4 linked regions of the Saccharomyces cerevisiae S288C genome follow. The protein of the gene in region 1 interacts with the protein of each later gene in a biochemical or structural test. Each region holds a gene or a part of one and is shown on either strand. Other genes may lie near its edges.

What was found.
Region 2: the proteins of CDC6 (region 1) and ORC4 form a complex in vitro, tested with the Saccharomyces cerevisiae proteins (3 studies listed by BioGRID).
Region 3: the proteins of CDC6 (region 1) and MCM2 form a complex in vitro, tested with the Saccharomyces cerevisiae proteins (3 studies listed by BioGRID).
Region 4: of the proteins of CDC6 (region 1) and CDC14, one has a biochemical effect on the other in vitro, tested with the Saccharomyces cerevisiae proteins (3 studies listed by BioGRID).

The regions. Positions count from the first base shown.
Region 1 is NC_001142.9:66,338-72,614, reverse strand, and holds CDC6 (AAA family ATPase CDC6), read right to left. Parts: upstream 3,278-6,277; coding exon 1,736-3,277; downstream 1-1,735. Other genes in the region: YJL193W (uncharacterized protein), read right to left, coding at 41-1,249; fatty acid elongase ELO1, read left to right, coding at 3,833-4,765; putative ubiquitin-specific protease UBP12, read right to left, coding at 5,046-6,277. UniProt on the Saccharomyces cerevisiae protein: Plays a crucial role in forming the pre-replicative complexes.
Region 2 is NC_001148.4:865,093-871,158, forward strand, and holds ORC4 (origin recognition complex subunit 4), read right to left. Parts: upstream 3,213-6,066; coding exon 1,623-3,212; downstream 1-1,622. Other genes in the region: cyclin-dependent serine/threonine protein kinase SGV1, read right to left, coding at 1-1,330; TIF3 (Tif3p), read right to left, coding at 3,553-4,863; MMS1 (Mms1p), read left to right, coding at 5,611-6,066. UniProt on the Saccharomyces cerevisiae protein: Component of the origin recognition complex (ORC) that binds origins of replication. It has a role in both chromosomal replication and mating type transcriptional silencing. Binds to the ARS consensus sequence (ACS) of origins of replication.
Region 3 is NC_001134.8:172,124-179,503, forward strand, and holds MCM2 (MCM DNA helicase complex subunit MCM2), read right to left. Parts: upstream 5,404-7,380; coding exon 2,797-5,403; downstream 1-2,796. Other genes in the region: NCL1 (tRNA (cytosine-C5-)-methyltransferase), read left to right, coding at 411-2,465; ATP-dependent Lon protease PIM1, read right to left, coding at 5,751-7,380. UniProt on the Saccharomyces cerevisiae protein: Acts as a component of the MCM2-7 complex (MCM complex) which is the putative replicative helicase essential for 'once per cell cycle' DNA replication initiation and elongation in eukaryotic cells.
Region 4 is NC_001138.5:207,913-211,784, forward strand, and holds CDC14 (phosphoprotein phosphatase CDC14), read right to left. Parts: upstream 2,157-3,872; coding exon 501-2,156; downstream 1-500. Other genes in the region: ECO1 (Eco1p), read left to right, coding at 1-385; PTR3 (Ptr3p), read left to right, coding at 3,025-3,872. UniProt on the Saccharomyces cerevisiae protein: Protein phosphatase which antagonizes mitotic cyclin-dependent kinase CDC28, the inactivation of which is essential for exit from mitosis. To access its substrates, is released from nucleolar sequestration during mitosis.

The sequences.
Region 1 (6,277 bases):
GGAATAAATATTATTTGCATTTATATTCTATCATGTTAAACTACTCAGGACGTATTTTCGCTTTTATTTTCGATTGTGATGTGCATCTTTCATAAAGGAATAACCCTAATGTGTTCAGAACCAAACCGAACACTTGCAGCCAAGTAATTCTTCTTCCAATAAAGACCCAACTAACCGCAATAATGGCAAAGCGCTTCATCAGATTCGCTATTGAATATGTTAAAGTTGAGACCTCACCCAGTAAATGAAATGTAATCATTGCCTGAATGAAGTGGAATGTCCCGTTCAGTAAAAATAAAGAGACTGGAAAAGCTTTTATTACTGTAGAAGAGCTGTTAATTTGAAAAAAATACCTAAATAGTACAGGAAATTCTAGAGTGATAAACCAGCCAAACGATAAACAAAATCCAACAAGGGAAATATAAATCATTAAAGTCAATTTGTCATATGATTTAGGTTTCTTTTTCGCAACAAGTTTCTCATCCAACTTTTCATATAAGGGTAAAGGTGATTCTTGCCGTGAGAATCCAGAATTACTTTGAGATTCATCTGTTTGAGATCTGTACGTGAACACGGTCTTGCCATATATATTTTGCAAGACAAAAATGAACATTGATATCATAGCGCATATTACGCCGTATTTAGAGAATTCTCTCAGCTCATTGGAAGAGGCCGGTGAACGATTATCTTCTTGAACTATAATCCAAACTCCAAGAACTAAAGTGCATAAACTAAAGATAAGAGTTAAAGTAATTTTCAAAGTGGATATTTTCAAAATCTTTTGGAGCAAAAGGATAAACATGGGGGATAGCGTTTTTATACTTGCAACCGTGGAAACAGGCACCAAAGAGGTAGCTGTATGCCCAAAATATTTCCCTACAAATTGGAAAAGACCTAAAGGTAGAACTGTTTGCAGGATTGGTTTAGAGGGCGGTATAATGAGGGAGGATAGTTTTGATTCTTTCCTAGCTGCACGGCTAGTTTCTCTGTCGTCGATATAATATTCCGGAAAAGTACCATTAGGAAATATGCGATAGAATCCTGGGAAACTATATGCAATATAACACGTAAACCATGCTAGCACAGCAGTATAAATGAACTGAAACTCACCCAAAAAAAGTGGTAATGGGCAAACCGTTAGTACCTGCTTCGTTACCTGAGATGCCAACGATGAAATAAAATACCAACTTATGCATAAAAAAATTATGTGTGCATTGTGCCTAATGGATGCCGACAGCTGTTGAAACATCGTTTTCCCCTTTTTCTTCGAGTTCCTTCATTATTATAGAAGGCATATGTCACACCGTGCCAATTTATTTGTTTGCATTTTTTTTTTTTCACCTTTCCGACAGGCGCCATTGTTATCACATTAGCAGAGTGAATTGGTTGCGATTTGAAAGAGAAAATGTATCAAAAACAAACAATTGTACCCCACCTCCCCCTAACAATCATCCATTCTGCATCCAGTAGCTAATGATAGTAAAATATTTGTACAAATTACGTTTTATTGTGTCTTTTTTGCAATTTCTTTGAATGCAATGTTGCGTATATCATTGCATCTCAGCCAAACGGTTTAACCGTTTCCAGAAAAAAAAAGTCTATAATATGCTATGCTGTTACAACTATAATAGAATTTTTATATAGTGATATGCTTTTCTATAAAAAAAGGAATGTGAAAAATGAGGGATGCAAGTGGAACTGTAAAAAAAAAAGAAAAAATAAATCTATTAGCTGACTAGTGAAGGAAAGGTTTCAAAATTGAAATTTTGGTCATCTCATCATAAAATTCTCGCATGTCGAGATCAACATCAATCTTATCAACAAATCTCTTGGTTTTCCCTTTACACTTTGTCTTTTTGATTGAAACCAGCCCACAAGTTTCTAAAATTGTACAGATTTCCAAAAATTCATTTCTCTGCAATGGTGCTAAAGTATCAGTTTTTGTTATCGCTTTGATATAATGATCAAACGATTCGTCGATTGTAGCATCGGAATTTAGCTTCAGTGATTGAATTATGGTGCAAAGAATTAATTTTTGCTGGATGTTTAGTTTGGCTATCCTCGTTCTCGTAGAATTATTGTTCACGAATTTTGAGAAGACCTTGGCTATGTAGTTCAAGCCTATTTTACCTTGTGGTTCTGGATACGATTTCTTTACCGGAGAAGTAGTTGGCGTCAAAGGAACTTGCGCAGAGTTCAATGATCCTCTTGTTGGTGAAAGCAGAAACCGCTTTTCTAACTCATAGATTTCGATACTTCCCCTTAAGACATCAAAAAGTTTTCGAAGGTCACCCGTATTTCCAGCACACTTCTTTGCTGCGAATTTGATGGCCATCGGTTGGAAGATAATAGTGGGCAGACTACTCATTTTTTGAATGACGATTTCATACATTTGCTCAGCAGTGTATGGCTGAAAAACTATAGTTTGCGGTAACAACCCTCTGTCCAAATTTAACCTGGAAAGAAACCTATCTTTCATATCTAGACTATTAGCCATACCGATTAACACAAAACTCACAGTAGGCAATTTCGCCAAAAGGAATAATTCAAGAATAGTTCTAACTGATTGTGTCTCGCTCGTGTTAGCATGCAATAGCCTGTCCATCTCGTCCAACACAACCACAAACGTAGTTTTCTTATGATAAGGCTCTAAGAACTTCTGTAGATGCTGCATGTTTTTTATTTGCAATGTTGGGCCATTCAGATCTTGGAAGGAATCGAAAATCTTCTGGAAAATGGAGGACGGCTCTCCCAACGATATACAATTAATACTGGTTACCGCCACGGATTCTAGCCTTCCATCGGGCAATTCAAACCAGGACAAATTCTGCAAGTTCGGATTCGTATGTCTCAGCACGTCCTTCGAGCGTGGCGTGGAGAGCGACAATGGGAGGGACTGGAACTTCTGTCTTATAATCATATCAAGCTGGGCAGTCTTGCCAGTGCCAGGCGGACCCGTGATGTACAGTGAATCGGACCTGTGTTCAGAAATTGCCTTCGCCAAAAAATTCATAACTTGTTCGTACTCTGCTGTTCTTGCTGGCAATGCACCATCGCTGCTATTCAAGTTGACTAGCTCAGATGACTTCTGCAAAAGTGCCTTTGTCCTCAAAAAAATAGACTGTGAGCCAAACTGCAGTTTTTCTGGGGATGATTCTGGTGTAACATCTGTGAACTGCAACTTTTTTCTTTTCAAAGGTCGTGGAGGCGTTGCTGGAGCATCGTCAAATAGATTTCTTCTGATACGCTTAGTTGGAGTTATTGGTATAGCTGACATGAACGTATATGGTACTATTGATGAAAATAGTGCAGCGCAGTGTTCTGAATATTCCAAAATTGTTCTTCCAGAGAATATACCTCTACTATATAAATGAAAAAATAGACTAACTAATACTATTTTTCAAGATGGCGTTATATCTTTTCTGCCAGCCAACTCAATTTCCTAAGTGGGTAATTTCCTGATCTGGAAACTCCGACGCGTGAGGCCTCGCGTCGCTTTCTTCTTTGGGTAATTCAGGGAAAACAAAGGAATGCAGACTAGCAACTAGTTTCAAAACACAACAAATCGCAAGCCAGACATATTTTGTTGAAACTACAGATATTTCTGCTGCTTTTATTACCTTGCACTTACGTGACGTGACGAAATATTAGTTCTAAACTCAGGGTCTTGGCTTACCCGCGTCGGCTTTACGGATTAGTAAACCGAAGGACATAAGGGAAAGAAAGGAAGCCAGAAAAAGAGGTAGAAGTATATAAGACTAACTGATATGAATATTAAGGTAGGATACCTTATCAATTTTAAGGAACTTGAGAGCTAAATTTGCAAGCAAGTATGGTAAGTGATTGGAAAAATTTTTGCCTCGAGAAAGCCTCTAGGTTTCGCCCAACAATAGATAGGCCTTTTTTTAATATTTATTTGTGGGACTATTTCAATCGTGCGGTTGGGTGGGCCACTGCAGGTCGCTTCCAGCCAAAGGATTTTGAGTTTACCGTTGGGAAGCAGCCTTTGAGTGAACCTCGTCCGGTACTGCTTTTTATTGCCATGTATTATGTGGTTATATTTGGCGGGAGGTCCCTGGTAAAGTCATGTAAACCTCTCAAGTTGAGATTTATTTCTCAAGTCCATAACTTGATGTTGACTTCTGTTTCCTTTTTATGGTTGATTTTGATGGTGGAACAGATGCTACCCATAGTGTATCGCCATGGGCTGTATTTTGCTGTTTGTAATGTTGAATCGTGGACGCAACCGATGGAGACATTATATTATCTCAACTATATGACAAAGTTTGTGGAGTTCGCAGACACTGTCTTGATGGTGTTGAAACATAGAAAGTTGACTTTCCTACATACATACCATCATGGTGCTACAGCTTTACTGTGCTATAATCAATTGGTTGGTTACACAGCAGTTACATGGGTTCCTGTCACCTTAAACTTAGCTGTTCACGTTCTTATGTATTGGTATTATTTCCTTTCTGCTAGCGGAATTCGTGTTTGGTGGAAAGCCTGGGTTACAAGACTACAAATTGTGCAGTTCATGCTTGATCTCATTGTCGTTTATTACGTGCTTTATCAGAAGATTGTTGCTGCATATTTCAAAAATGCTTGTACTCCACAGTGTGAGGATTGCTTAGGTTCAATGACGGCTATTGCTGCTGGTGCAGCCATTCTTACATCCTACTTGTTTTTGTTCATCTCTTTCTATATTGAGGTTTACAAACGTGGAAGTGCTAGTGGTAAGAAGAAGATCAACAAAAACAATTAACCAGTCCTTCTGTTTTGTTTTTTTCTGTTTTTCTTCCTATCTTGTATTTGACTTATATATAGACTGTTTTATTCGAAATAATCATTTTGCTTCGTTTATGTAATTTTTGTATTCATAAGCCAGTATTTTCTCTTCTTTTTTATTTTTTTTTTGGAATGTCGCGCCCAGGACAAAAACATATAATTTATTAGCCTAGGCAGTAAATAGTAGGCGAAAAAGATTGAAAAGTATTATACATGTGGAAATTTATTAATTTTATCTATCATATAAACTCATGTCATTATTCTGGCGATTCTAGTGTCACACCATTTTTTAAATTCAAATCAGCGACTTCGTTTTCTGGGCATCCCTCAGATATTTCAGACGTACTCGATGAACCCAAGCCTGAATTATTCTTGTAGACTTTTTTCAACAATCTTAACTTTCTCCTACCTGAATTTGTCCTCTCACCATCATCATTGTCATCTTCGTCGTTGCAGTCCTGAGTTTCAATATGCCCAACCTCCAAACTACGATTACTATATTCAGGGGCCTGCACATCTTCATTACATTCTATCATATCATCAGAAACATCTTCCTCCTCGTCAGTCTTATTAAATTCATACAACTTCATCTGTTCATCGTATATCTTTTTGATACGCTCATCATATCCGTGGCGTGACTTTTGGATTATTTCCTGTAGTTTAGAGCTGCCTAATCCATTGCCATCTTTATGACGGCGAATGTAAAATAGCAAATAAGCCGATCCAGCTATACTATTTTCTGGCGCAGTTTCAGTTACTCGAGAATCATCAAAATAGTACCATTTATTGTCGGCAAAATTCTTTACGTACGCGGTATAGTGCCCACCACCCAAACCACCATAGTGGTTATCTACTGCATACAGGTCATAGATTAAACCTCTGGGATCATCTTTATAGACAACGTACCTCGACAGATCCAAATCTGTAATGGGGAAATTAACCGTGGCATCAATTTTATCGCTAAAAGACCTTTGACTTTCAAACCTTTTAAGGTGAATTAGCAGAATATCTGGTGTATTCCAAAGTTGTATTTGTTTGGTAGCCTGACGATGTTCCTTGCATGTAGGGCAGTACCACGAATCGGTTAATCCTAGTATTTCTGGTTTGGAAAATAATTGGAGACAATCGTCCAAGGTTATGGTTCTTTCCTTAGCGTTAGATCTTTCCAACTTAGCGTTCTCCAACTCTTTGTTAGGCAAAGTAGCTGGATTTTCCCAGTTATATATTTTATCATCGGAAAATGCCTCATTTGAACCCAATTCGCTCCACTCACAAACAATAATATCATTCATAGAAAGAATCGCAAACGGAGTGGAAGTCAAGCTATCCTTAATTTTATCTAACGCCTCTGGCTTATCTGTTAATTCTGGCTCTGTACTTGCATCTTCTTCAACATCATCTGTTAGTTCCATATCTTCATCCCGATCATTAGTATTATTTACATTTTCATTATTTGTTACAGTTTCTTTATTTTCTTCATCATCTCCCG
Region 2 (6,066 bases), on another chromosome or scaffold:
CGTTCTTTGATGGAGGCAAAAAACTTGCGTCATCTTTCTTGGGGCCTCTTGGGATCGCCCCAAGATTTTTCACGACAGGTGATTCACCCTTTTCAACTATATGACCTCTTGGCGCAGTAGGTACTCTTTGGGACAATGATTGGTGCATTTCTTCCTTGTACCTCTTAATATCAGCTTCATGACTTTCTTCCGTCGGTAATGTTATCTTCTCTGATGGTAAAGGGTCCTCTTTAAACCAAGGATGGTGTTTAGCAGACATAGCGGTCAACCTCTTGTAAGGATCTAACGCTAACAACTGTCCTAAAAAATCTAGACCTGTTTCACTTAGATATTTACCAAATCTTTCCCTCAACGTTGGCTTGTAATTAGTTGTTGTTAGTTCAGCACCTGGCAAATATCTAGCCACGGCCCAATCTTCTTCTGTCGGTGTACCAAGTAGTTTGAAAATAACATGTCCCTGATCAATATCCGTTTTTCCCTGTAAAATAGGTTTTTTCTCAAAAAATTCTGCGAAAACGCATCCGACACCCCATATATCAACAGCTGTTGTATACTGTTTATCACCAAGCACCAACTCAGGTGCTCTATACCATCTCGTTACGACTACTGATGTATATTTGGCGCCGGAACCTGCACCACCAGGATACTTTAAGTTTGGAGGACAGCCATAATATAATCTTGCTAAACCAAAATCAGCAAGCTTTAAAACACCGTTGTGGTCAATCAAAATATTTGCTGTCTTTATATCCCTATGCATGAATTTTGCACAATGAATATAATTTAGGCCTTCTAATATTTGTAGCATCATATTCTTTATATCGCACATCTCTAAGTTGATTCTCGGATTATGCAAAACGCCCGACAGATCTGCTACCATATACGGCAGGATCATGTAGAATGACTTATGTAGGTTGCTGGATGCCGCATTTGTAATATCCGGTGAATGGTCATACACCATTTCGATTAGTTTAATAATATTTTTGTGGTTTAAACGCTTTAAAATAGTAATTTCTCGTTGTGCAGTTATAGGAAACAGATCTTTTTCAACGCTAACTATAATTTTTTTCATTGCCACTTGTCTTTGAGTCTCTAAATGAATTCCCTTATAAACCTCACCAAATGTTCCTTGTCCTAATTTTTCATCCTCACGATAATGATTCTGGAAAACTGTACACCCGTAAACTTTCTCACTACTTCTTTTTCTTAGTTTGATGTATGTTAAGTTAGTCTTCGCATCTCGCTGGATGGCTGGTGTACTCTTCACTTTGCCGATTTTGTATTTATTAAATTCGGTTTTTGGAAGAACCGCGGGGGAACCATTATCACTCATATTATTTTACTGTTATTCTGCTTGACCACGAATGTACTGCTAATACTATACAATTTCTTTTGCTGGTGTTTGGTAATATTTCTTTTCACCATTGTTAATTTCTCTCTCTACATTGCCTATGCTCTATTAAATGCATATGTGAATTTTTCAAATTCACAGAGGTTTGGTGTATGGGTGTATTTCCGTTCGACGCGATGACCACATAATCTTGAACTTACTTATTAGGAAAGCTGAACAGTGGAATATCAGAGTTGCTACCGCCAATAAAATGTCTGTATATTGTTCCCAAGATTCACAGTTGTGTCCAGGAGTAGTACATATTAGATTTGGGGATAATTCTTCTTAATTCCTGAAGAATGATCTGCATCTGGTAACTTCTCAAGTCAAACGGGATCATGGTGCCCTGAAATTGATAATTGCTAGCGTAAAATGCTGCGGTCGCATTATCTCTCAAACCAACGGCTGATTTCTCGGTAAAAAAATCCAGTTGCACTAAATTTTCCCAAACGTTCTTGACGTCCTTTTTCAACCATAGTTTGATAGTATTGTCGATAGAAAAAGTACTTTGACCTGTTCCCACATTTGTAGTAGGAGCCACGGTGGGAATTCTGGAGTTGATAGCTTTAATCATCTTTTCATACTCTGCATAAGCTAAATTAAAATTAAAAGATCCGTCTTTCGCCCTTAAGGCAACCCTAGCGGCTGAGATCAAAATGGCTAACTCTAAATCGGATAAAGATTGGAGCCTTCCTGTTAAATTATTAGATAGTTGGTTCTTATTGTATATGTCAAGAAAAGAACACGATTTTATGGCAGTGCAGAGTGAACCAAAATTTTTGGATGTCGCTACTAATGGAATTATGCTATTTTTCAATGTAGGTAATGACCTAAAGGTTTCGAAATTCATCCTAATATGTCTATTCAAATTCGATCGAGGGTCGGATAGTTCTTTTTCCAACGTTTCATTCCATTGTGAAACCCAGGGGGAGATTTCAGAGCGAACTGTAAGTAAATTTCTGACGGCGTCAACCATATCGTCTAGATTCTGTATTTGCGGCATATAAATCACTCTTTGAGAAAATCTACTCTTTACCCTCTTTTCTAAATATTCCAAGATATTTAATTTCGTTGTGCAGCCAAAAATGCAAACAGGTACCCGAGAATGTTCTACCATGTCAAAAAGATTGTATAATAAAGTTTGCCTCACAGGCCCAGCAAATGTATCAATTTCATCGAATATAAAAACAACTGTTATCTTTGTTATACTCTCTCTGTCAACCTCACCACTATCTTCATTTCTTGTCTTCGTGGTCGAATCTAAGAGTAAAAGAATTTTCTCAAACACTTCTGTCAAAGAACCACTGCTAATAGTCTCTAATGAAGTATCGTCAATTTTTTCTTCACTGCCATGAATTTTCTGCAACTGCTGTTCCAATTGAGTTGCTATACCGTTAATAGCTGTTTGTTCGGAGTGAATAAACCCATTCAACCTGATAGTTATAAACTGCTCTTTATAAGATTGTTGCAACAAAGACAGTTCATAGTCTAATAAGTATGTTTTGTAACTTTGTCTGGGCCCCACGAGAATTACTGAATGACTCTCTTTCTGAATAATGGATTGTTTAATGATTCTATCGATCTCTTGTTGACAATCTTGTAAATATGTGAAGATTATCTTTTCGTCCGTAGGAAGTGTGCCATAAAGTTGCTGCAGTAACCTTCTTTGAAGGGAACCAAAACCAGGGTCGCTGTCTTTACACTTTTCATTATCTATAGTACGCTTTTTTAGAATCGCTGCAGTCTCCTCTACCTCTTCGTTTGAGTGCCTCTTTATTGGGAGAAGATTGACTTGCGGTGATAGACGAGCTTCGCTTATAGTCATGCTTCTTCTTTTGAATATTACCGATATTAGTAGTTTATATTTGATATTTCTATCAGTATTATTTAGATTTTTTTTTTTTTTTTAATTGTTAATGCTTTTTCTTAGAACTTTCCAAAAACGAAAGGAAAATGGGACATTCAAAAACTTACCTCACATAGAAAAATGATAAATCCAAAAATACACTTGAACACATGTATGAAACTTAATACAAAATATATGGTTATTTTTTTTTTAATTATATAATAGAGTTAGAATACCTGGTAGAAAGGAGAGTAGAAAAACAAGAAAGAAAAAAAGCAAACAGTAAATACAAATGTACATTTTATCATCATACAACACTCTATTTCTTACCAACAACTTCCCAATTGTCACCATCTTCAACAGTCAATTGAGCAGTTTTATCCTGTAGCTTTTCAACTGCCGCATCAACTTTGTTTTCTTTTGCGTCTCCATTTTGCTTTTCAGCCTCTTCATCTTCATCATCATCTTCAGTACGTAAAACATCATAAACAGACTTCTGGATTTTTGGTTGCTCATCAGTAGTCTTTTTGTTAGTTAGAGACCTATCCTTGTAGGTATTTTTGGTTTGTTGAGGCTTACCAAACTGAGCACCTCTGGCAGCACCCCAATCCAAAGCTGGTTCTTCCTTTTCTCTTTCTCTTCTTGGTGGTCTTGAGGAGCTTTGGAAGTTGGAACCTCTGGCTGCACTCCAGTCAATATCTGGCTCTTCTCTTTCTCTTCTTGGTGGCCTCGAGGAGCTTTGAAAGTTAGAGCCTCTAGCTGCACTCCAGTCAATATCTGGCTCTTCTCTTTCTCTTCTTGGTGGTCTGGAAGAGCCTTGGAAATTGGAGCCTCTTGCAGCGCTCCAGTCGATATCAACTTCTTCTCTTTCTCTTCTTGGTGGTCTGGAAGAGCCTTGGAAATTGGAACCTCTTGCAGCAGTCCAGTCAATATCAACTTCTTCTCTTTCTCTTCTTGGACCTCTGAAGTTAGAACCTCTAGCGGCACCCCAATCAAGATCTGGTGCATCTTCTCTTCCATCACCTTGGAAATTGGAGCCTCTAGCACTACTCCAATCAACATCTGCACCTCCCCCTCTTCTTGGAGCCGCAACAGAAACGTAAACAGTTCTCTCATTCAATTTAGTACCGTTGAACTTCAGAACGGCGACCAAATCTGCTCTTTCTTTCAAAGTAACGAAAGCATTACCCTTTAATCTTGTTGGGTCTCTTAGATTCTTTGGCAAAACAACTTCTTCAACCGCTTCAGGCTTAACTAAACCATCTTCAACCCAGGCTTGAACACCCTCTGGGGTAATATCCCATGGAATGTTGTTTATGACAGCCCTATATGGTGGAGCATCTGGAACAGGGTATTCCTCTCTTCTATCGGAAGAACCGCCCCCCAAAGCAGGGTCTAATCTAGATCTACCTCCAAAACTGCCACCAAAGCCGCCTGAACGCGTGTTATTGCTGTTGTTTTTAGCATGAGCCAATTCGGACAATGGAATAGTGTTTGCATTAGCGGTTTCAATAGGAATTGTGATCTTATTCAAATCGACATCTTCTTCAGCCCAAGATGAACCAAAGGTGTCATCATTTAAAAATGACGTAAGGTCCATCTTCTTTACGGTTTTCTTTGGTGGAGCCATGATGTGTCCTTTTTATTATGGTATTATTTTCCTAAAGACAGATGAAAGCTAATATAAACTCGAGTTTTATGATAATCCCGCTTATTGGTCTACTGATCTTCTCTAACTCTGTAGTTATATCTATCTCTTCTGCTTCTATTTCTGCTTTTCTTTAGCGATGCTGATTTCCGCAAAAAAATTTTCATTCCGTGGTGCGTGATCTGATGAGAAATAAAGCCAAAAAGAAAAAAAGACAAGAAGACAAAAAGGTTGGGCGGCTAAGTAGCGCCAGGATATAAAAAGCAACATAGATTTCAGTACCCTATTATCCTGCCAAAATTTACTTTAAGAAGTCTCTATGAATATACAGGCTAAATTTGGAAACATGAGAAAGGAAAGATGAAGATACAAAGATTGCAAGCAGTCAAGAAGATTTAGGAAAAAAGGAAAAAGCAAAAAATATCGATTTTTATGACTTACAAACTAAATTGATATGTTCGAAATAATTTTGAGAAGCTGAGCTCAATCTGGTACTAATCACTTCAAGTTAGATGTGCAAAGAAAGAGAATAGCATAAATTCAAAACCAAAGGAAGTGCGAGGCATTACCCGCATATTATCGGGAAACAGAAGCCATGTTAGAGTGATTTCCAACAAATGGCCCTTTGCCAGAGATGGGCTCTGCAAAAGAATTGGAAGAAGAGAAGAAATCGCTTCACATTCCGTTTCGTTTCTGGGTCTAATTAAAGTAGTACGGTGTCAATTAGGTATGCTAGGTTTGCGAACTCATGGTTTAGACAGGTATGAACATTATATTCGTCGCCCGTCGGATTTTGGCAAACTTGAGCTGCAAGATTGGTTGAATCATAAGTCATTCCGAGTTTCCCCCAATTTATTAATTGATTCAAGCACCACACGTGAGTGGAATGAACCTGAGCTTTTTTATCAAAATACCGAGGATGAAACTTGGGTGAGACCTTGTGTAGGGCCAAAGCTAGAACCATCAATGATGATGCTCAGATATCACGATTCGAATATTGGTCAAATGCCTCAATTTTGTTATCCAATCTCAAGTCCGATAAATTTTAAACCAGTATTAAAATACATTTTGCAAGAACGTTCTGAACTGTCAGACGGCTTCCCTCAAAAGTATAACACACTAATAGGTAGTCTTTTTGACATTGATAAAAACCCAGAAACCTTAGATGATTCAGATATAGAAGCA
Region 3 (7,380 bases), on another chromosome or scaffold:
AGCGATTAGGAAGTAGTGAAGTAATTATGGCAAGTCTAGAGGTCCGGCTGATCCCTTGCGGTGCTGAAGTAACGAAACCGCGCGCATATCTTTTGGAAGAGATTAATTTGCACTGAATTTTCAAACTTAATTAGCGAGAAGAAGTAGATGCATTTCAATTATGCCAAAAGCAGTATTTATTACTTCTTATAGAATATAGTATCACTTACGCTCATTTAGTGTACCCACTTACGTATTAAATGACGTACTTTTTTTTTGTCCTCTTCTGTAGCTTTTTTTCACTTTGAAAAATTTAGCGCTGAGTTCTTCCAAAGACGTCAAATCACCTACTATAGTTAAAAACATATTACTTATACTAGTTCTAACACTTCCTTTTATCTACACTGTAATCCGAAGAATACACTATAAGGATGGCTAGAAGAAAGAATTTCAAAAAAGGGAACAAGAAGACTTTTGGTGCTCGTGATGACTCGAGAGCTCAAAAAAACTGGTCTGAACTGGTAAAGGAAAATGAAAAATGGGAAAAATACTATAAGACTTTAGCTCTTTTCCCAGAAGATCAATGGGAAGAATTTAAAAAGACATGTCAAGCTCCACTTCCTCTAACTTTTAGAATTACAGGTTCTAGAAAGCATGCCGGTGAGGTCCTGAATTTGTTTAAAGAAAGACATCTACCAAACTTGACTAATGTTGAGTTTGAAGGTGAGAAGATTAAGGCCCCTGTAGAATTACCTTGGTATCCAGACCATCTTGCTTGGCAATTGGACGTTCCTAAGACGGTTATTAGAAAGAATGAACAATTCGCAAAAACTCAGAGATTTTTAGTTGTTGAAAATGCCGTTGGTAATATCTCAAGACAAGAAGCCGTTTCAATGATTCCTCCAATCGTTCTAGAAGTAAAACCTCATCACACTGTTTTAGATATGTGTGCTGCTCCTGGCTCCAAAACTGCTCAATTAATCGAAGCCTTGCACAAGGATACAGATGAACCATCTGGTTTCGTTGTAGCTAATGATGCCGATGCCAGAAGATCTCATATGTTGGTTCACCAATTGAAGAGATTGAACAGTGCCAACTTGATGGTTGTCAACCATGACGCCCAATTCTTCCCACGTATCAGATTACATGGCAACTCAAATAACAAGAATGATGTTTTAAAATTTGACAGAATCCTGTGTGACGTTCCATGTTCTGGTGATGGTACCATGAGGAAAAATGTTAATGTTTGGAAAGACTGGAACACACAAGCAGGTCTTGGTTTGCATGCTGTTCAGCTGAATATATTAAACAGGGGTTTGCATCTTCTAAAGAACAACGGTAGATTGGTTTACTCAACCTGTTCTTTAAATCCTATTGAAAATGAAGCGGTTGTTGCCGAAGCGTTAAGAAAGTGGGGTGACAAGATTAGATTAGTTAACTGTGATGATAAGCTTCCTGGCCTAATAAGATCCAAGGGTGTATCCAAATGGCCTGTCTATGACAGAAATTTGACTGAGAAAACCAAAGGAGACGAAGGTACACTAGATAGTTTCTTTTCACCATCTGAAGAAGAGGCATCGAAATTCAATTTACAAAATTGTATGAGGGTTTATCCTCACCAACAAAACACAGGCGGATTTTTCATTACTGTTTTCGAAAAAGTCGAAGATAGCACTGAGGCGGCTACAGAGAAACTATCTTCTGAAACCCCAGCTCTAGAGTCTGAAGGACCTCAAACAAAGAAAATAAAGGTAGAAGAAGTCCAAAAGAAAGAAAGACTACCACGTGACGCGAACGAAGAGCCTTTTGTTTTCGTTGATCCACAGCACGAAGCTTTAAAAGTTTGTTGGGATTTCTACGGCATCGATAATATTTTCGACAGAAACACTTGTTTAGTGCGTAACGCCACTGGTGAACCAACAAGAGTGGTTTACACTGTGTGTCCAGCATTGAAGGATGTTATTCAAGCGAATGACGATAGGTTGAAGATTATTTATTCTGGTGTAAAATTGTTTGTCTCTCAAAGAAGTGATATCGAATGTTCATGGAGAATCCAAAGTGAATCATTGCCAATAATGAAACACCATATGAAATCTAATAGAATTGTTGAAGCTAATTTAGAGATGTTAAAACACTTGTTAATCGAATCTTTCCCTAACTTTGACGACATTCGTTCGAAGAACATCGATAATGATTTTGTTGAAAAGATGACAAAATTAAGCTCTGGTTGCGCCTTTATTGATGTGTCAAGAAATGACCCTGCCAAAGAAAACTTATTCTTGCCTGTGTGGAAAGGCAACAAGTGTATCAATTTGATGGTTTGTAAAGAAGATACTCATGAGCTATTATATAGGATCTTTGGTATTGATGCGAATGCCAAGGCTACTCCAAGCGCTGAAGAAAAAGAAAAAGAAAAAGAAACGACTGAATCTCCCGCAGAAACTACTACCGGAACCTCTACTGAAGCTCCTAGCGCTGCTAATTGATAGTTATCATGTTTCTTATCCCCTCCACTGTAAAGTAAATGTATATTATTAAAAGGCAAAAATAAGAATATAATACTTCAGTAATGAGCCTTTTTTATTCGGTCTTGTTACTTCTTTTTTACTTCATTTTTTTTTTTTTTTTTGGATAGTAAATAATGCACTTTTGACTAGATCTTGAGTATTTAGTTGAATTGAAATTAAAGATACAGTGTATAAAAATTATACAAAAAATAAAGGAAACTTGTATATTGAAAATAGGATTGCCAATACATGGATTGAGACAGAGAATTTTTTATCTTCATATCCAGATATTCGTAGGAATAACAAAGTTTTAGTGACCCAAGGTATAAATTGCGAAAGACCTGCGGAGTTGGCGGCGAACACTGACTTTTTGGGCATCAACAAAGGAATCAACTACAACTTTGATAGCTCTATCCAAATCATAAGAAGACACAAATTCAGATAATCTCATTTTAGCAAAAGATTCTGCAATTCTTAGAATAGATTCTAAATGACGAACTGTGATTGGAAACGAACCTGTAGAAATACTTTCTCTTCTCAAATCCGCATATACCCTGCTAACCTTATCCATATCCATCTGATGCAATTTAGGGTATATTTTTGTCCTCGCATAGTGAATATATTTCATCAATAATTCCTGTGGAATAGGCGAGATCTCTTCCTCCTTCTTCCTTTGTCTTTGAAGTCTTCTTTGCCTTGCATTAAGCTGCTCATTTATTTCATCTTCTCCTTGTTCTATCGCCGATTCGCCATTATTTTTAAGCTCTTCGCCTTCTCGATCTTCATCGTTTTCTGGATGAGATCTTACATGAGAATCGACAACAAATGTGGCCAATCTTTCGTCTGCCTCTTCATCAACAAGGTCTCTGACAACACATAAAATATCAAATCTAGACAGAATAGGCTCGGTCAAACTAACATTCTGAGCTAAAGGCAAGGTTGAATTATATCTACCACCATTAGGATTTGCCGCAGCAATAATTGAGCAGCGCGCTTGTAATGTAGTAACAATACCGGCCTTGGAAATGGAAATACTTTGCTGTTCCATAGCCTCATGAATAGATGTACGATCCTGATCGTTCATCTTATCGAATTCATCAATTAAACAAACACCCTTATCAGCCAATACTAGCGCCCCCCCTTCTAAGGTCCATTCTTTAGTAATAGGATCTTTTCTGACGGATGCTGTCAGACCGACAGCCGAAGCACCCTGACCAGTTGCAAAGACCGCTCTATGCGCTGTTTTCTCGACGTATTTTAAGATTTGAGATTTGGCAGTACCTGGATCACCTAATAATAACACATTGATATCACCACGAATAGAATGTTTTCCATTGACGTTTTTTGGAACACCTCCAAATAATGAGCACGCGACTGCAGTTTTAATATCTCTATGACCATAGATAGACGGTGCCATCGATGATATAATTTTATCAATTATACCACGATCCCTAGAAATCTTTCTAAATTCACGTTCTTCTTCTTCAGTCCAACTGAAAACATCCAACCCTTCTTCGCCTTCGTTAGCTGTATTGCCCTCTCTTCTTTTTATAGAATTTGCCTCGATAATTGTTGCAAAAACGGGGAATCCGTTCTTTGCATTCAAGTTACCATCGTAGTTATTTTTGTAGATGCCGGTAACTTCTACCTCTTCACCTGGCTTGGATACATCTACCAAATCCGCCAACAAAATGACTTCTCTATGTCTTGGTAGACGGCCTGGAGGAACGGTTCCGGGAGCTTCCTGGAGCGTAACCCTTTGATAATTTCGGTACACAGTTTTTTCTCCATTGACTCTAAAGGGACCTTTTGATTTGCAGTTTGTACAGAATGAGATTCTAATTTCTTCATTAGAATCTTGAAAAAATGGGCCCAAAATGGAGCCACATTTCAAACAATTGAATTTGACATATTTTAATTGAGGGAAGACTCCTGTTCTTCTTGTCACCACCCCAGTGACGCGTACTAGAGAGGACAAATTAGACTCACGCAATTCACGTAAACTGTATATTGTTGGAAAATCAGAGATTCTTACGTGAATTTCGGAGTGAATACGGGCATAATCTGGGTAATGCAATTCTGTTGCCTCCATAGCCACGAGATCGAATATTTTCAACATTTCTTCTGGACATTTAGCTAAAAATAGTGCCAGGATGGCTTTGGACTCCGCTAAGTGTCTATAATTAACCTCCAAAGATTCAGAATTCATTTCACCTAATGTTCTAATACGTGCACCATATACAGAACGACCCGTTTCATCTGTATATTCCAGCAGGAATGATTTTAACTCTCTGGCAATAGTTCTTGAGACATTAGGTTGTGTTATCCATTCCGAGTAACTGTTAGCCTTAACGTTACTCAGAGATTCTAAAGTAAGTTCTTCTCTTAATGGGTCAATGTCCATGTCACTCAATAGATCGTCATCACTATTCTCTAAGTCCTCATACTGCCTTCTCCTTCTTCGTCTTTGCACAGGAAGGCCCATTTCATCAAGTTGCGCTGCACCTTCTTGTTCTTCGTCCTCGTCATCTATGTAGGCAACATTTCTCAATAGCCTATCTCTTTCATTTAGTTGAGCATCAATGCGGCGACGTTCGCTTAAAGATAGTTCTTGTTGTTCCCTGTCGTCAACTTGATCTGGATCATATCTATCTCTATTATGATCAGCCGCATAATCCTCATACATATTATCGTCCATCAAATCTACTTCGTTCATTTGTTCTTCAACTTCATCAATATCTGGTACATCGTCAACTTCATTATCGTCACCTTCAGGGTTAATCATATCTGGAGAACCAATAGGTGATGAAACTGGGTTCATCCCCCCTCTAAAATGTTGCTGAGGTGAGGATGGCGGTAGCTCATTTTCTGAGTCCGAATCATCTTCCTCACGTCTACGTCTTCTATTATCAGACATCACTTATATTGTAGTTGTGTTATACTTCTTAGAAAAGAGGCAAAGAGGTGTGTGGAGTATTATTAAGTAAACTGTACCAAAATGTGTAGATTATAGGATATTCACCATTTACTTTCTGGTTTCGTTTCTCGAAATTTTTCGTTGTCCTATTTTCTTCGGTAAGTAATTAGATTTCCTAAAAAAGGCATATGATAAATAATATTACACGCGATTCCGCCATCTTGGGTTTCCCACATACATACTTCACGAAGAAAAGAAAGAATTTAGTATTGTGTAATAAAATTGATGTTTATGTTTAAATATTTACAGAATGTTTAAACAGGTATTTAATCCATTTAGATGAAAAGTTAGTCCTTTTCCTTTTTAGCATCCAAAATCTCAAATTCAGCCTTCCATACTGAATTACCTTCTTTCGTATTCACATCCTTGAATAATTTTTGGAATATATCATTATACCAATCAGCAGCTAAAGGTTCCAACCCTTCCTTTACATTGTCTGGAAGTTCCTCCCAATCATTTAAGTTATCTTTAGGGAAAATAATAGTCTTGGCACCAGATCTTTTAGCGGCCACAGCTTTTTCTCTCAACCCACCGATACGTAAAACTTTACCGGTAAGTGTCAATTCACCGGTCATCGCAACCGTTGGGTCAATCGACTTATTCAATGCTAGGGAAAGGAAGGAAGTGGCCATAGTGACACCTGCAGATGGACCATCTTTAGGGGTAGCACCTTCAGGACAATGCAAGTGGATAGACGCCTTTTCAAAAAATCTGTTCTCAGGGAATTTTTGTGCTAAATACATCTTGGCGAATGAATAAGCAAGCCTTGATGATTCCTTCATAACATCTCCCAGTTGCCCGGTCCTTTCAAATGTTGGATGCTTGCAGTTGTGTAAAGGTTGTTCAAGGACAGATTCTACATAAAGTGAGCAACCTCCCATATTAGTCCACGCCAACCCCATAACTACCCCTGGTGGAGTTGTTTCGTATAACCGGTCTGTAGTGTAGACTGGAGGCCCAACGTAATCTTTTAGGTTTTTCTGGGATATGGAAACATTGATCTTTTCAGAGGTCTTTAAGGCTTCAATGTCATCGCTTGTCTTTTCCGAATTATTGTCCTTAGTCTTCTCCGATGAGCTTTTGGCGTTATTTTCCGCCTTTTCTTCGGAAGAAACGCTTTCTTTAGGCTTGCTGTCGGCTGATGACGTTGGGGAATCTTCAATACTCAACTTCTTTACCACTTGTAGGGCTGCTTTACGGTATATTTTCTCGATGTGTTTTTTCAAATTCCTTACACCACTTTCTCTACAGTAGTACTTCATTAACGCTGTTATTGCATCTTCTGTCATATCAACATGAGAGTTTTCTAGACCAGCGCTTTTCTTGGCACTTGGAACTAAATACTGCTCGGCAATCTTAACCTTGTCTTCAGCAACATATCCTGTCAACTCAATGACTTCCATACGATCCAGTAAAGGTCTTGGAATAGTTTCCAAAGAGTTAGCAGTGCAAACGAAAAGCACTTTTGATAAGTCAATAGGAATATCCAAGTAGTTATCCAAGAAGCTGTTGTTTTGTTCAGGGTCCAATACTTCTAACAATGCCGCGGACGGATCGCCGTGTATGCCGCCGTGTCCAATCTTATCGATTTCATCTATCAAAATCAAAGGATTTTGAGTTTGGCACTTCTTTAATGCTTGAACTACTCTGCCAGGTAAGGCACCAATATACGTTCTCCTATGACCTTTTATTTCTGCCACGTCCGTCATACCGCCTACAGAAAATCGGAAGAATTTCCTGTTAAGAGCTCTAGCGATAGATTTACCTATGGACGTTTTACCAACACCTGGGGGTCCTACGAAACATATGATTTTACCATCGACTTTACCCAATAGTTTACCGACGGCAATAAACTCCAAGATACGATCCTTGACATCTACCATACCATAATGATCTTCATCTAAAATTTTCTTTGCT
Region 4 (3,872 bases), on another chromosome or scaffold:
CACAGAAGAAAAAGGCAAAGCGTTTGTATACATAAGAAATGACAGGGCGGTCGGAATAATAATTATAGAGAACCTTTATGGGGGCAATGGTAAAACATCTAGTCGTGGACGTTGGATGGTTTATGATTCTAGAAGATTGGTACAGAATGTGTACCCCGATTTTAAGATTGGCATATCGAGAATTTGGGTGTGCAGGACAGCAAGGAAGTTGGGTATCGCAACCAAATTGATTGACGTTGCAAGAGAAAATATTGTTTACGGTGAAGTTATTCCTAGGTACCAGGTAGCATGGTCGCAACCCACAGACAGCGGTGGAAAACTGGCTAGCAAATACAACGGCATTATGCATAAATCAGGCAAGTTACTATTGCCGGTATACATATGACTCTTTCGAAAAGACAGCGAGAAGGGACACTGGAAAAATGGCATAAAACTTTTCAAGGTTATTATTAGTAAGTTTTTTTATTATATGATATATATATATATAAAAATGAAATAAATTATTTCTTGATGGAGCCACTTATTTTTCTTATACCACCGGCGGCGCTTGTAGTCCTTCTCCCTGACGTTACTCTCCTATTCTTGGGCAATAGTTGTCTTAGTATGGTATCATCTGCGGCATTATTGATGTTCGTTGCGCTGGGTTCGTTATCTTCCATTCGGGACGATGAAGCAGAGGAGATATCATTTTTCTTGCGCGAAACTTTGGGATAATGATTACTTGTGCCGTTGGTATCCTGCATGGATTCGTCATCTGAGTTGTTGCTTTCTATTACTACCTTCCTATTCGCATGGGAAGTTGGATTACGATTATTGTTGATATCTTCTATAGTATTAGAACCGTTTTGGCCCTTTCTCGGCTGACCAGGCGAAGTCTGTGGGACGGCTGAGCTCTTGAATGAATTACTTCCATTATTCGCCGTAGAAGGTTGGCTCGAATTTCTGGCACTAAGCGCCCCATGACCGTTGGATGGCGGCGTCATGGTTAAATCTCTTAATTCACCTTCAATGTTATTTTGCGCAACCCTCTTGTCGTCTTTAAGTTTCTTTTTTTGTAAGCGGTATTCTTCTAAACTTATTAAGGGATATAAGCCGCCAATGGCCTCACTAGGCTTCAAAGAAATTCTGGTTGTGTACTTCCATTCTCTAAAATCATTCTGGTGTAAATATAACCAATGCTGTTGAGGGCCAACGACCATTCCCGGCCTTATAAACCTTAAGAAGCCAATACACTCGTTAGCGGTAAATCCATACGTGTATATTAAGTGAGCACCAATTAAACAACCAGTTCTACCTAGCCCAGCCTTACAGTGCACAGCAATTTTACCTCCCCTTTTAATTATCGTTTCAGCAGCACCAACAAAGTTTTTTACAATGGAAAGATCAGGACATGTACCATCTTCGAAAATTAGATCCAAATGTTGAATGCCAATGTCTTCAAAATGCTTTTTATTATATAAATGAGAATTCAACCTTACCACTAATTGGACGTTATTGTTGGCGAAAAAATTCAGAACTGACTTAAACGGCTGGTTCAAATGTGAAGATTTGGTAGCGAGATAGCCCTTTGGATGGTCCTCTTGTGGTGACGCAAATGCAATAAAATCTGGGGTGAGTACATTGAAGTCTCCAAACTCCACGTGTTCGTATTTCTCGTAACTCTCCAAATTGAAGGAATGCAAATCAATAAGGCCTTTTTCCTTAGCCCTCCAAACGCCATAAACCACATCTTGAATTGTGATTTCGAAATCCGCATTAGAATAACCGGCATCTCTAAATGGCATGAAGGGAGGGTCTACTTGCGCCAACGGCTGAAGCACTTGATGCGGAGTCCATGCCTGAACGAGGATCATATAACAGCAAAGCATACATGCGGCGTTAGCACGTTGTCTGGTCGATGCAGATGAATAGAAAACAACGGCTTTATTGGCATTTTCTGGGTCATTCAAGATTTCATGGAAAATAACGGCAAAACGATATAGATGTCCAATGTTCATGGGACCGAAATCCAAATGGAAACTGTTGTAAAAGATTGCGTCCTCCACGGTAAAAAACACCAGCTCATCAGTATCTTCCGGCGTGTAATCATATGCACCGAGATATACTCTGCCTCGCAGGAACTCGATCGTGTTGTCGAGGTATACACTCCTACGCATTTTTTTTTTTTTTTTATAAGCGTACTTTGTAGTCCCAGCCTCTGTGCAATTGTTTCGTATTATACCTCGAACGAATCGGAAATATTTGGTACATTATTGTTTCAATTTCAATTTGTTTACCTTTGAACCAAGTGAAGAAAAACTTATGGTGCTAAAAGTACATTCCCCGTTGAAAGTGATACAGCTTTCTTGATTGACACAATAGCAATGGCCTTCAAATGCATATCTCTACTATCGGCTAAAAAACGAATGACTCACGTTATCAGGCTCATAGCTTGTGTGTGTGTGTGTGTGTGTGTGTGTGTGTGTGTGTGTGTGTGTGTGTGTGTGTGTGTGTGATTGTTGTTCTAGTCGCTTGCTTTATAAAGTAACGACACTTTCTGGTGCCAATATGTGAAAACGCATTACAGAAAAAAACAGTTGTATTCTACTAAAAACACATCAGTAGTCACAGAAGTCACAGAAGTCACGTATATAAGCTAGTGGCAATCATAACTAACACAGGTGTATTAATGAAAAAATAAAGCCAAAAAAATTTCAGAAAAAAATATCTCCCGGGGGCGAGTCGAACGCCCGATCTCAAGATTTCGTAGTGGTAAATTACAGTCTTGCGCCTTAAACCAACTTGGCTACCGAGAGTCGTTTTTGTTGATTACTTTGCTATATAAAGATTCCTTTATCATTATTTCATGAGGCGCACTTTTGATTTTCACACCTTTTTCAAGCGGAGGAGTTATTCGTCTTATTAACATTACCATTACAGTAGTCATCAATGATTACCTTATCAGCACTGAAAAGATACCCGTAAAATTTAGCACACGCACACTCACACATACATAGGTACGAAATACACAACTGATAGGCGTTCATGCACTCTCATAGACAAAAGTGGGGCCGCCAGACGGATATAGCGAGGGTGCTCGACGATATAGAACACGACCTCTATCTACCGCAACGGCTATCACTCGATGGTGCAACTGGTACTGACGAATCACATGTGCAATACGGTATAGTCAAAGACTGCTCTGTGCTTACGTGTGGCTGCTGTATATCTGAATCGCTATTCAATGATTTATGCAGGGAAACTTCGAACAAGCAAACTGCGTGTCCCATCTGTCAGCGAGAAAATGTTCGACTACTTTCAGCCATCAAGCCGCTGCGAGATTTGGCTCGTCAGATTGACTTCTTCAGAAGTACTACCGGACAGGGCGAAAGCGAAAGCGATGAGCTCCCCGCTATAGTAAAGACTTCACCATCATCATCATCACTATCGCTAACGCCATCGCGCTCTTCCTCCACTGCTGGGCTAGAAGCTGATAACAAGACACTATCAGACCCTACAGTTAAGGAGAAATCATCACTGCTCGAACTCTTCCATATTGTGGCTTCGAAGATGCATAATGCGAATACAGAGGTAGGGTCGGACCACCCACTCACGACTGGCACCACCCGTGATCAAGAAGAACACACCACTAAGGAGAATTACTCAAGCAGCTTACTCGAGCCCAACTATGACGACCACGCGAACTGGAAAATCCTGGATAATGCCTCGAACACAAGAACTGTGCCGATAGATAACAACTTCTCTTTGATGTCTACGGACGTTACAATACCTTCCACAGCAAACTACCAAACAAATAGTGCACATGATCTGGACGAAGAAAAGGAGTACTTTTTTGCCAACTGTTTCCCCATGTACAGAAAAAAATTTCAGTT